Linked DNA regions of Drosophila melanogaster. The protein of the gene in region 1 interacts with the protein of each later gene in a pairwise test. Each region holds a gene or a part of one and is shown on either strand. Other genes may lie near its edges.

The links.
Region 2: the proteins of Prx2 (region 1) and MtnB interact in a two-hybrid assay, tested with the Drosophila melanogaster proteins (one study listed by BioGRID).

What each region holds. Positions count from the first base shown.
Region 1 is NC_004354.4:13,327,966-13,332,795, reverse strand, and holds Prx2 (peroxiredoxin 2), read right to left. Parts: upstream 2,973-4,830; 5' UTR 2,832-2,972; exon of another isoform or gene 2,766-2,831; intron 2,398-2,765; exon of another isoform or gene 2,117-2,397; intron 1,778-2,116; exon of another isoform or gene 1,675-1,777; coding exon 1,090-1,674; 3' UTR 802-1,089; downstream 1-801. Other genes in the region: IP3K2 (inositol 1,4,5-triphosphate kinase 2), read right to left, coding at 4,031-4,408, 4,535-4,645. UniProt on the Drosophila melanogaster protein: Thiol-specific peroxidase that catalyzes the reduction of hydrogen peroxide and organic hydroperoxides to water and alcohols, respectively.
Region 2 is NT_033777.3:20,502,455-20,505,574, reverse strand, and holds MtnB (metallothionein B), read left to right. Parts: upstream 1-1,956; 5' UTR 1,957-2,044; coding exon 2,045-2,069; intron 2,070-2,130; coding exon 2,131-2,237; 3' UTR 2,238-2,473; downstream 2,474-3,120. Other genes in the region: Or92a (odorant receptor 92a), read right to left, coding at 1-780. UniProt on the Drosophila melanogaster protein: This protein binds cations of several transition elements. Thought to be involved in metal ion homeostasis.

The DNA.
Region 1 (4,830 bases):
CACCACTTGACTTTGAGAAAGGGTTCTGTTTCCAGTAGGTTCCACGGGCAGTAAATAAACTGCCTCGCAGCTGCTGGGCCACATGTACATATGTAGATAGCCAGATAAAATGTACAAATGTATGTATGTATATAACCCGGAGGAACTGGTTCTGGTGAAAGAGATTCGATCCGATACGCCGAAGACACCTCGTTGGATGCGACGCGAACTACACGTAATAGTTGAAACGCTGCGATCACAAAAGGGGGTTCAAATCAGGCAGATCGTATATATTTATATACATATATATCTGGGTATACCGGTAGAGTCAAGACCCGTTTAATATGCGAGACATCCACGTCGACTAGAGGACTCTCGCTTGCGCTTAACATTGAAATGGATGGGTGGTGATGGTGGCAAAACGGGAATTGTGCACTCGGTTACTGTGTCACCAATCCAACAGCTGTTGTCTGCACTGCAATAAAATGCCACATCAAAGTAACAAAGTTACAGAATATGTGGAACAACTAATAGGTAACTACAAGTACATGTTAACAGATTATTAACCGGGTTTAATTAGACATCACATGTAGATTTGTATACTGTGCACAAGTCACTCGTCATTTCTTTCAGCGAAGCATTCCTGGCATTCTGATTCAGTCTATTTGCAATTTCGCAATTGCCAGTCGCAGACGGTGATAAGTCGCCCGCTGCTATTTCTTTCCATTTTTTTTTCTTTTGTGGAAATGTTTCCCCGGATGATAAGACCAGAGGTTTGAGGCGAAAGTCCGCCCGCCACCCCCTGATAAAGACCCACGTGCTCCGTACAATCGTTTATTGTGGTGAATTACAAAAAAAAAAAAGCACACAAAATATACGTAAAAAATAATCACTTTCCGCTTAGCGTCTGCAGGTGTTTATCATCTTATTTTTGGGTGGCGCTGTTGCAGGGAAAGATGCCTCACAGTTTCTTCTTCTTCTACGCTCTAGGGTTAATGTGTAGGATATATAATGTAGTATATGTATTGGTTTTAGTTGAACGGGGGGTTTGCGATTCGAATCCACTCCCACTCGCCAGGAGCGGCCCCGTTCAGCGAACAGATAGCCTCTTTAGGAGGTGGTCTCGAAGTACTCCTTGGACTTGGTGGGATCGGCCACCATGGTCTTCTGGCCGGGCTTCCAGTTGGCGGGGCAGACCTCGCCGTACTTGTCGGTGTACTGGAAGGCCTGGACGAGACGCAGGGTCTCCTCCACACTGCGACCTACGGGCAGATCGTTGACGGTGATCTGGCGCAAGTTCTGCTTGTCATCGATGATGAACAGGCCGCGGAAGGGGATGCCAGTCTCCTCATCGAGCACTCCATAGTCGCGGGCCACCTTCATCGACTTGTCAGCCAGCAGTGGAATGTCCATGCTGCCCAGACCACCCTGCTTCCTTGGCGTGTTGATCCAGGCCAAGTGGGTGAACTGGCTGTCCGTGGAGCAACCGATCACCTCGCAATTGATCTTGCGGAACTCGGCGGCGCTCTCCGAGAACGCAATGATCTCGGTGGGGCACACGAAGGTGAAGTCCAGCGGGTAGAAGAAAAGCACCAGGTATTTGCCCTTGTAGTCGCTCAACTTGATGTCCTTGAAAACACCGTTGACGACGGCGGTGCCGGCGAATGCGGGAGCGGGCTTCTGTAGCTGGGGCATCTGTTCAATGAATGGATGGCGAATTAGAGACATGTTTCTTCAAACTAGCGAATAATTAACAACAAAGTGCTCTGAACTTAGTCGCCTTCTTTTGAGAACTTCAATTGTAAATCCCTCATATGGTCCCCTTGAAATCTCGCTGTGACTGATACTTCCTCTTTCGACCGATACGCATCTTATCTTATCTATCAAGATTTTTTGGGCCCCACAAAAAACAAAAATTTCATCACTCTAACCTCGGATTATTACAAGATAACCGTTGTTTAAAAAAATTGCATTTATAGAGGCTAGTGAAATCATGGAAATTAATATGAATAGATACTGTTAAAGTATTATGATGGGAAATCAATATTATGCTAGGCCCTTAGAATGAAAATTGGAAATATTTACGAAATTCTTGAAATTTCTCATATGCAATATACCTATTTTGTAGTAAACTTACTATTTTATAACCTTTAATCTTGCCTATGTAACTTCCAATTGGTTTTCAATTGTAAAGTAGTTAACTTGATGCTAATTCCATACTAAAAGTCTCTATAAATCGGAGTTCTAATGGCGGCAATTACTAACGATTAAGGGCAATTACCCTTGACTTCCAGATATTTCGCCACAAACTGGAAAGATCAAAGAGGAGAGTAGAAAAGCTGAACTCTACAAAATGGCCGCCGAGCGAAGCGAAATGGAAGAAACCCGGAATAATAAATTAGCCAAATTTTTCGACTGCTCCCATTTATGCGATTGAATTTATTGAACTGTCGGCACGTTCGCGTATTTCATGTAATGGATGCGAATTAATTACAAATCACAAACTTATTTCTGAATTGGCAAATATTTTCCTCTAGTTTTGATTTCATTTTTGTGCCCTTTTTTTCGCCGGCTCTTCGCGTGTACGTGTGTGTGTAAGTGTGTGCGACGGACGTGCCAATAAAGTGGAAAAAAAAGAACGAAATGTGAAGAAAAAAACTATGCTCTCGGTGCAAAAAGTTGTGAAATAATCTCGAATCTGCCGACCGAACATGAACATCATTATCTTTTGCTCATCGAAAAAGAACAACAACAGCAACAACAGCGATGCTAATTTCTAATCTTACGCTCCGCAATTTCTCGCCGACTTTGCCCAGAATGAGCGACCTGTTCATCGCCCAAGGAACACTCACTTTAAACAGTTATATTTTTTCTCTTAGTAATTCTCGGTAATTGCTTGACTTCCGCGTGGGCTTCCTCTTGTTCGTTCTCTCGCAGCTTCAGCTTTCGCACAAACAAACCTTTCGGCACGAGTTGAAATTCGCGAATGGATTGAAATTAAGCGAATGCTGGTCGACCAGGGCTGCCGCAACACGGATACCGCTTGCGATAGGCAGCGCCGATTAACGCTGCTCATCGATATTTTTTAGCAAGTGCTTAAAGCGCCATCTATCAACTATTGGCGTGCTTTTCAAAAGTGGATTCTACATTTTAAATGGTAAGTTTTAATATTCAAGTTTTAAGATAGTAGCGCTTAATAACTTTTGATAGACTTGGAAACAAGTACTACTACTAATAATAAATAATGTGTAATAATATGTACTGAGCAGTACTTTTAGTATAATTCGGGCACACCAGCTTAACGGTCACACTGGTCGTCATTTTGCCGCCAAAATGAAAAAACCGCGCTTTTTTTTAATTCTTCCATTATAAATAATGTAGTTAAAGAACTGATTCCTGTTTATAATAACCATTTCTATTCCACTTTGGCGCAAATAATATTTTCTATGTATTATGCTATTCTGTGGTCCACAAATCTCCACAAATAAATTGAAACAAGTACTTTCGTTTTTTCGTTTTGTTTTAACTGAATTTAATAGTGCACAATTAGTAGTATTTAGTAGGTAGTCGCATAACCATTATATTAAAAACTTAGTCTAAGCTCTTGTTGCGTGTTGGGTGTGTTCATTTCTTAGTTACTTTTCGTATCGTTACGATCGACAGTTGCAACTGCCTTGTGGGTATTATCTCCAGCCATTCGGGTATCTCTAGGATTCGCCAAACGTGAATTTTTTTGTTTTTTTTTTTGTTTTGGATAAATAAATTACACTACAGCAGCAGCAGCAGCACATATAGGCCAGGCTATATATCTTCTATATATGTATATGTACGCGTATATCGTATATATTAAAAAATATGTGTATGCATATTGTGATTTCAGTCTTTGATTTTAAACTTAAGGGGTTAAATGTACGCAAACTGTTAGAAAAAAACAAAAAAAAAATGTATAACTAAGCCTAGGAATTGGGGATTAATCGATTCGGAAATTGGAAATGTCTTTGTCTCCGGGGCCCAGCCCCAAACCTCCGTGTGGAAATGTATGGATTTCCCATTAGGGTTTGCTCTCTTCACCCGTCTGCTCCGCTTGATCTCCTCCAGAACCAGAAACGGGTGACTGAATGGCCTCCGCCTGCGCTTGCGCATGCGCCTCCGCCTCCATGGATGCCTGCAGCTCCACAAAGATATCAATGAGATTGTTGATACCGATGAGATAGCCATCTTCGTGGTTGCCCACCTTCCAGGCGGAGTAGTGATCGATCCGCAGCTGCGGCGGCAGCTCCACCGTCTTGGCGAAATCAATTAGCCATATGCTGGCGTGGGTCTGATCGTGGACGAAGAGCAGGGAGCTGCCGATAACCTCGTGGGTCTGGAAGAATTCCGAGACCGCAAGGGTGGCCCTTATGGCTCGCAAACGCTGTATGTAGCGGGGCTGTATGCAAAAAAAAAAAAAGAAAAGAAAATAAAATAAAAAGAAAAGAAAAAGTAATGACAAGCGCAGGGAATCCCCAAGTTAATGGCATTCAACTGGGCATGCTTGGCTAATTTGAATACCCACCAAAATATGTGGGTGACCGCTGAGGAACTCGAGAAAGGCCAACTTGATTTGTTCGCGTGACTTCGTCGTTTTGAAATCTTTGGAACTGGTGCCATCGCTCTTCTTGATGCCCTGCGAATGATGTTTAGACGATTAAATTAATGGCTTTCCATTAACTTTTCTGAATGAATAATTAATGTTTACATTTGACTTTAAGGATAAATGTGTAGCCTGGCACTTTGCACACGCTTCTCATTCACATAGTCGTATGTTAATTTAGTGGTTTCGTTTTTTTGGGTTGGCTATTCAAGTTTAAA
Region 2 (3,120 bases), on another chromosome or scaffold:
CAGGTATTTGATATTTTCTTCATCCGTATGATCACCTCCTTCGTAGGCCTCCAAATCATTCGCTATAAAGTTGAAGTGCATGGTCAGCTGGGTTATGGTCGCGATCAGCAGGAGATCCACGCAGACGTAGGAAACTCCGGCCACATAGGCACAATGAGCCAATCCCCAGTAGGAAAACCAGTAGACCGTCAGATCCGTTTCTGCGTCGTAGGGAAACAAAATGTGAAATCCGTAGTTGCGCTCAAAGATTTCCGATCCCATAAGGTAATACTTTATGGTCGACTTGATGGCTGGATAAAAGCTAAATGACGAGGTGTAGGTCATGCAGAGGATGGTGAATAGGGTCATGACCCTGTTCATGTGTTTCCGGTAAAACGATACGTTATACTTCCGCTGCGCTTCTAAATCTAAAGGAAATATCTCCTTGAGATCATCCAGCAATCTGACCAATCGCTTTCTATTCACTGTGAGACCGAACTGCTTAAAGTCGGCCATGAAGCTGAAGCCAATGCACGGTGCCACTGCAGTGGCCTCCAAAAGAGTAGTCGTCGACATTATATGGACTATAAAGTACGCGATTTCGCCCACCACATAGGCATTGAAGTTGAGAAAACCGAGTACCAGATAAAAACGTAGCAGGTAACGCCTTATCACATTCGGATCCCTATCGGAGTACAGATCCTCGCCGATGGTCTTGTAGAAAGTCATCGGAAACCGGGTAAGTTCGTCGAAGGTGATGACTTCATCGTCACTTTTTGGCTTACGTTTGCGGAACAGCATGATTCAGCTGTTTGATCGGCTGACAGAATAAGTCTTAGGTTTATATAGCTCCCATCAAAAGTGTCCCATTAAATTCGCATGAGACACCCTTCGCTGACCTCATAATTACTTAATTTAATTTGGGGTAACGGAACACCTGCCACTTGACTTTCTAAAATATTGAGTTCTACAGGAATGTTCCCAGGACTACACGGAGAAAAATCGAAGGACACTTTGGGGACGAGAGGATATTCATGCAATTTGTGGTAAGGAACTGAAGTCATACTCTAACTGAACGGTGCTGGCTGGTCAAGTTATATATGTTTATGTGATGTTAAATATAAACCTTGTGGTCAACACAAGCACAAGAATCAATTATATATTCATTATACTCGTTAAAGATATTTTTTTTTTAAGGTAAGGTAAATAAAATGGTAAAAAAGTAAAGGTAAAAAAACTAGCCGAGTTAGAGACTGCAGGAAACTTATCTAAGTCGTTCTTTTGTTGCAGGTACACCTAGCAAAAAAAAAAACAACTAAGTCAGGCCTATTTCTATATTTGTTCTCGAAAACTTTTTTTTTACTAAAAGTCATAAATATATATAAAGTTGTTCCGGGTGTTTGGTTTTCCGTGCAACGAACTGTTTTCGTAGCTCCCGCAGAGCTTATAGTTTTTGCCTAATTTGCAGCGCGTTTTTTCCTCTATTAATTTTTAGTTAGCTTTCCACATGTGATATTTTTATGGCATTTACGCTGGGTTTTTTTTGAAAAGAGTTTAGTCGTAAAGCGTTTTTGCAGCCAATATGAGCATTTAAATTTGTTTTACTACAGGAAAGTCTTTTATTTATTGTGAAAAACCCCGCTGGGTAGCTGCCTGCGCTTTTCATGCTTTTTATTGTGTGCTTCTGGGCTGTGGGCTGAGTCACGATACGCGGCGTATACGCAACGTATACGCAACGTGGGCAGCTGATAAGCTGATGAGGAGTTCGTGTGCACCGAGTTGGCGAGCAATCGCGTGCGCAAAAAGAATTGCCTGGCCTATCGTCTGATAAATTGCGAACCACTCGCCCCAGACTTGCACACGACGTGATAAGTTGGGTCAAACAAACAAATTTGTTTTGGATTTGTGCAATTTTGCACTCGTTCGAGTTCGAGGCAATCGAAGTGGGTATAAAAGTGGGGGAGTTGCCGGACTGGGTCATCAGTTGAATAGCCAAGCAACAAGCAAACAAGTGAATATCAGTTCGCCTCAGCCAAGTGAAAGTCGAGAAATAGATACATACAAGATGGTTTGCAAGGGTTGTGGAACAAGTAAGTGGTACAACGCAGCAGCAAGCTGTATAATTGACAATCGTTCTCGATTCCTCGACAGACTGCCAGTGCTCGGCCCAAAAGTGCGGGGACAACTGCGCCTGCAACAAGGATTGCCAGTGCGTTTGCAAGAATGGGCCCAAGGACCAGTGCTGCAGCAACAAATAAGCGGGCCAACTATATAACTAACTGTTTAACTTCTAAACTGGAGCTTAACTCCCAACGAGTTGGCCGCAATAAATAAAGTTTATAAAGATTTTGAGCATTTAAAAGTTTCTGCCGTTAACTTTTTGTTACTGGGCGGTCGGTCATCTTACCAAGCGATAATTATATTTTCGGCTTTTGGCAGCTAAAACCAATTATGGTAAAATAATAAACGTGAGCTGGCATTCAGTTAAGCAAACCGCAAAATAGAATTACATGAAAAATAAGCAAACGCAATGCGACAATTTGGGCGGGATTTGCAAATATTTGTATGTTCGCGGACAGCTGCACCGGAATTAAAATCCAATCCATCAGCCGTGATTTTGGTAGAAAACTCACCGAAAGTCCATTGAATTGTGCGCAAAACGGAACATAAATCGAAATAACATTCAATTTTCGTGGCCATCGAACTGAAACCAAATTATTTAGCCGCTTTTATCTGCGACTGAACTTTGCCCATATGCCAATGGCCGAAATTGCAACCCACTTTGTTTTGAATATAAAATGTATTTCGCTTTTGAGGCAATTTCTCAAAAATGTTGTGCCGATTTTATTGCATTTTCAAAAAATACATATATATTCTGCTCTACTAGCAGCAAATTCCTCCAGCGTTATGTTGGGTTTAATAGTCTGCCAATGGAATAGATACGTTTTGTATCGGCCAAATAATAACTTTCTGGCCAAGTTTTATTTATTTAATAGCCTGCTACTGCTACCCATTTCACACACTTTTGTTTAAAGAGCGGTCGAGCTTTCCATTCGAGTGGCTAGGCCTGAGTTTCCAACTGTCAAAACCAAATGACCAATTAAAATACAGGCACTTGTGGACAATTTCAAGCGTCCGTTT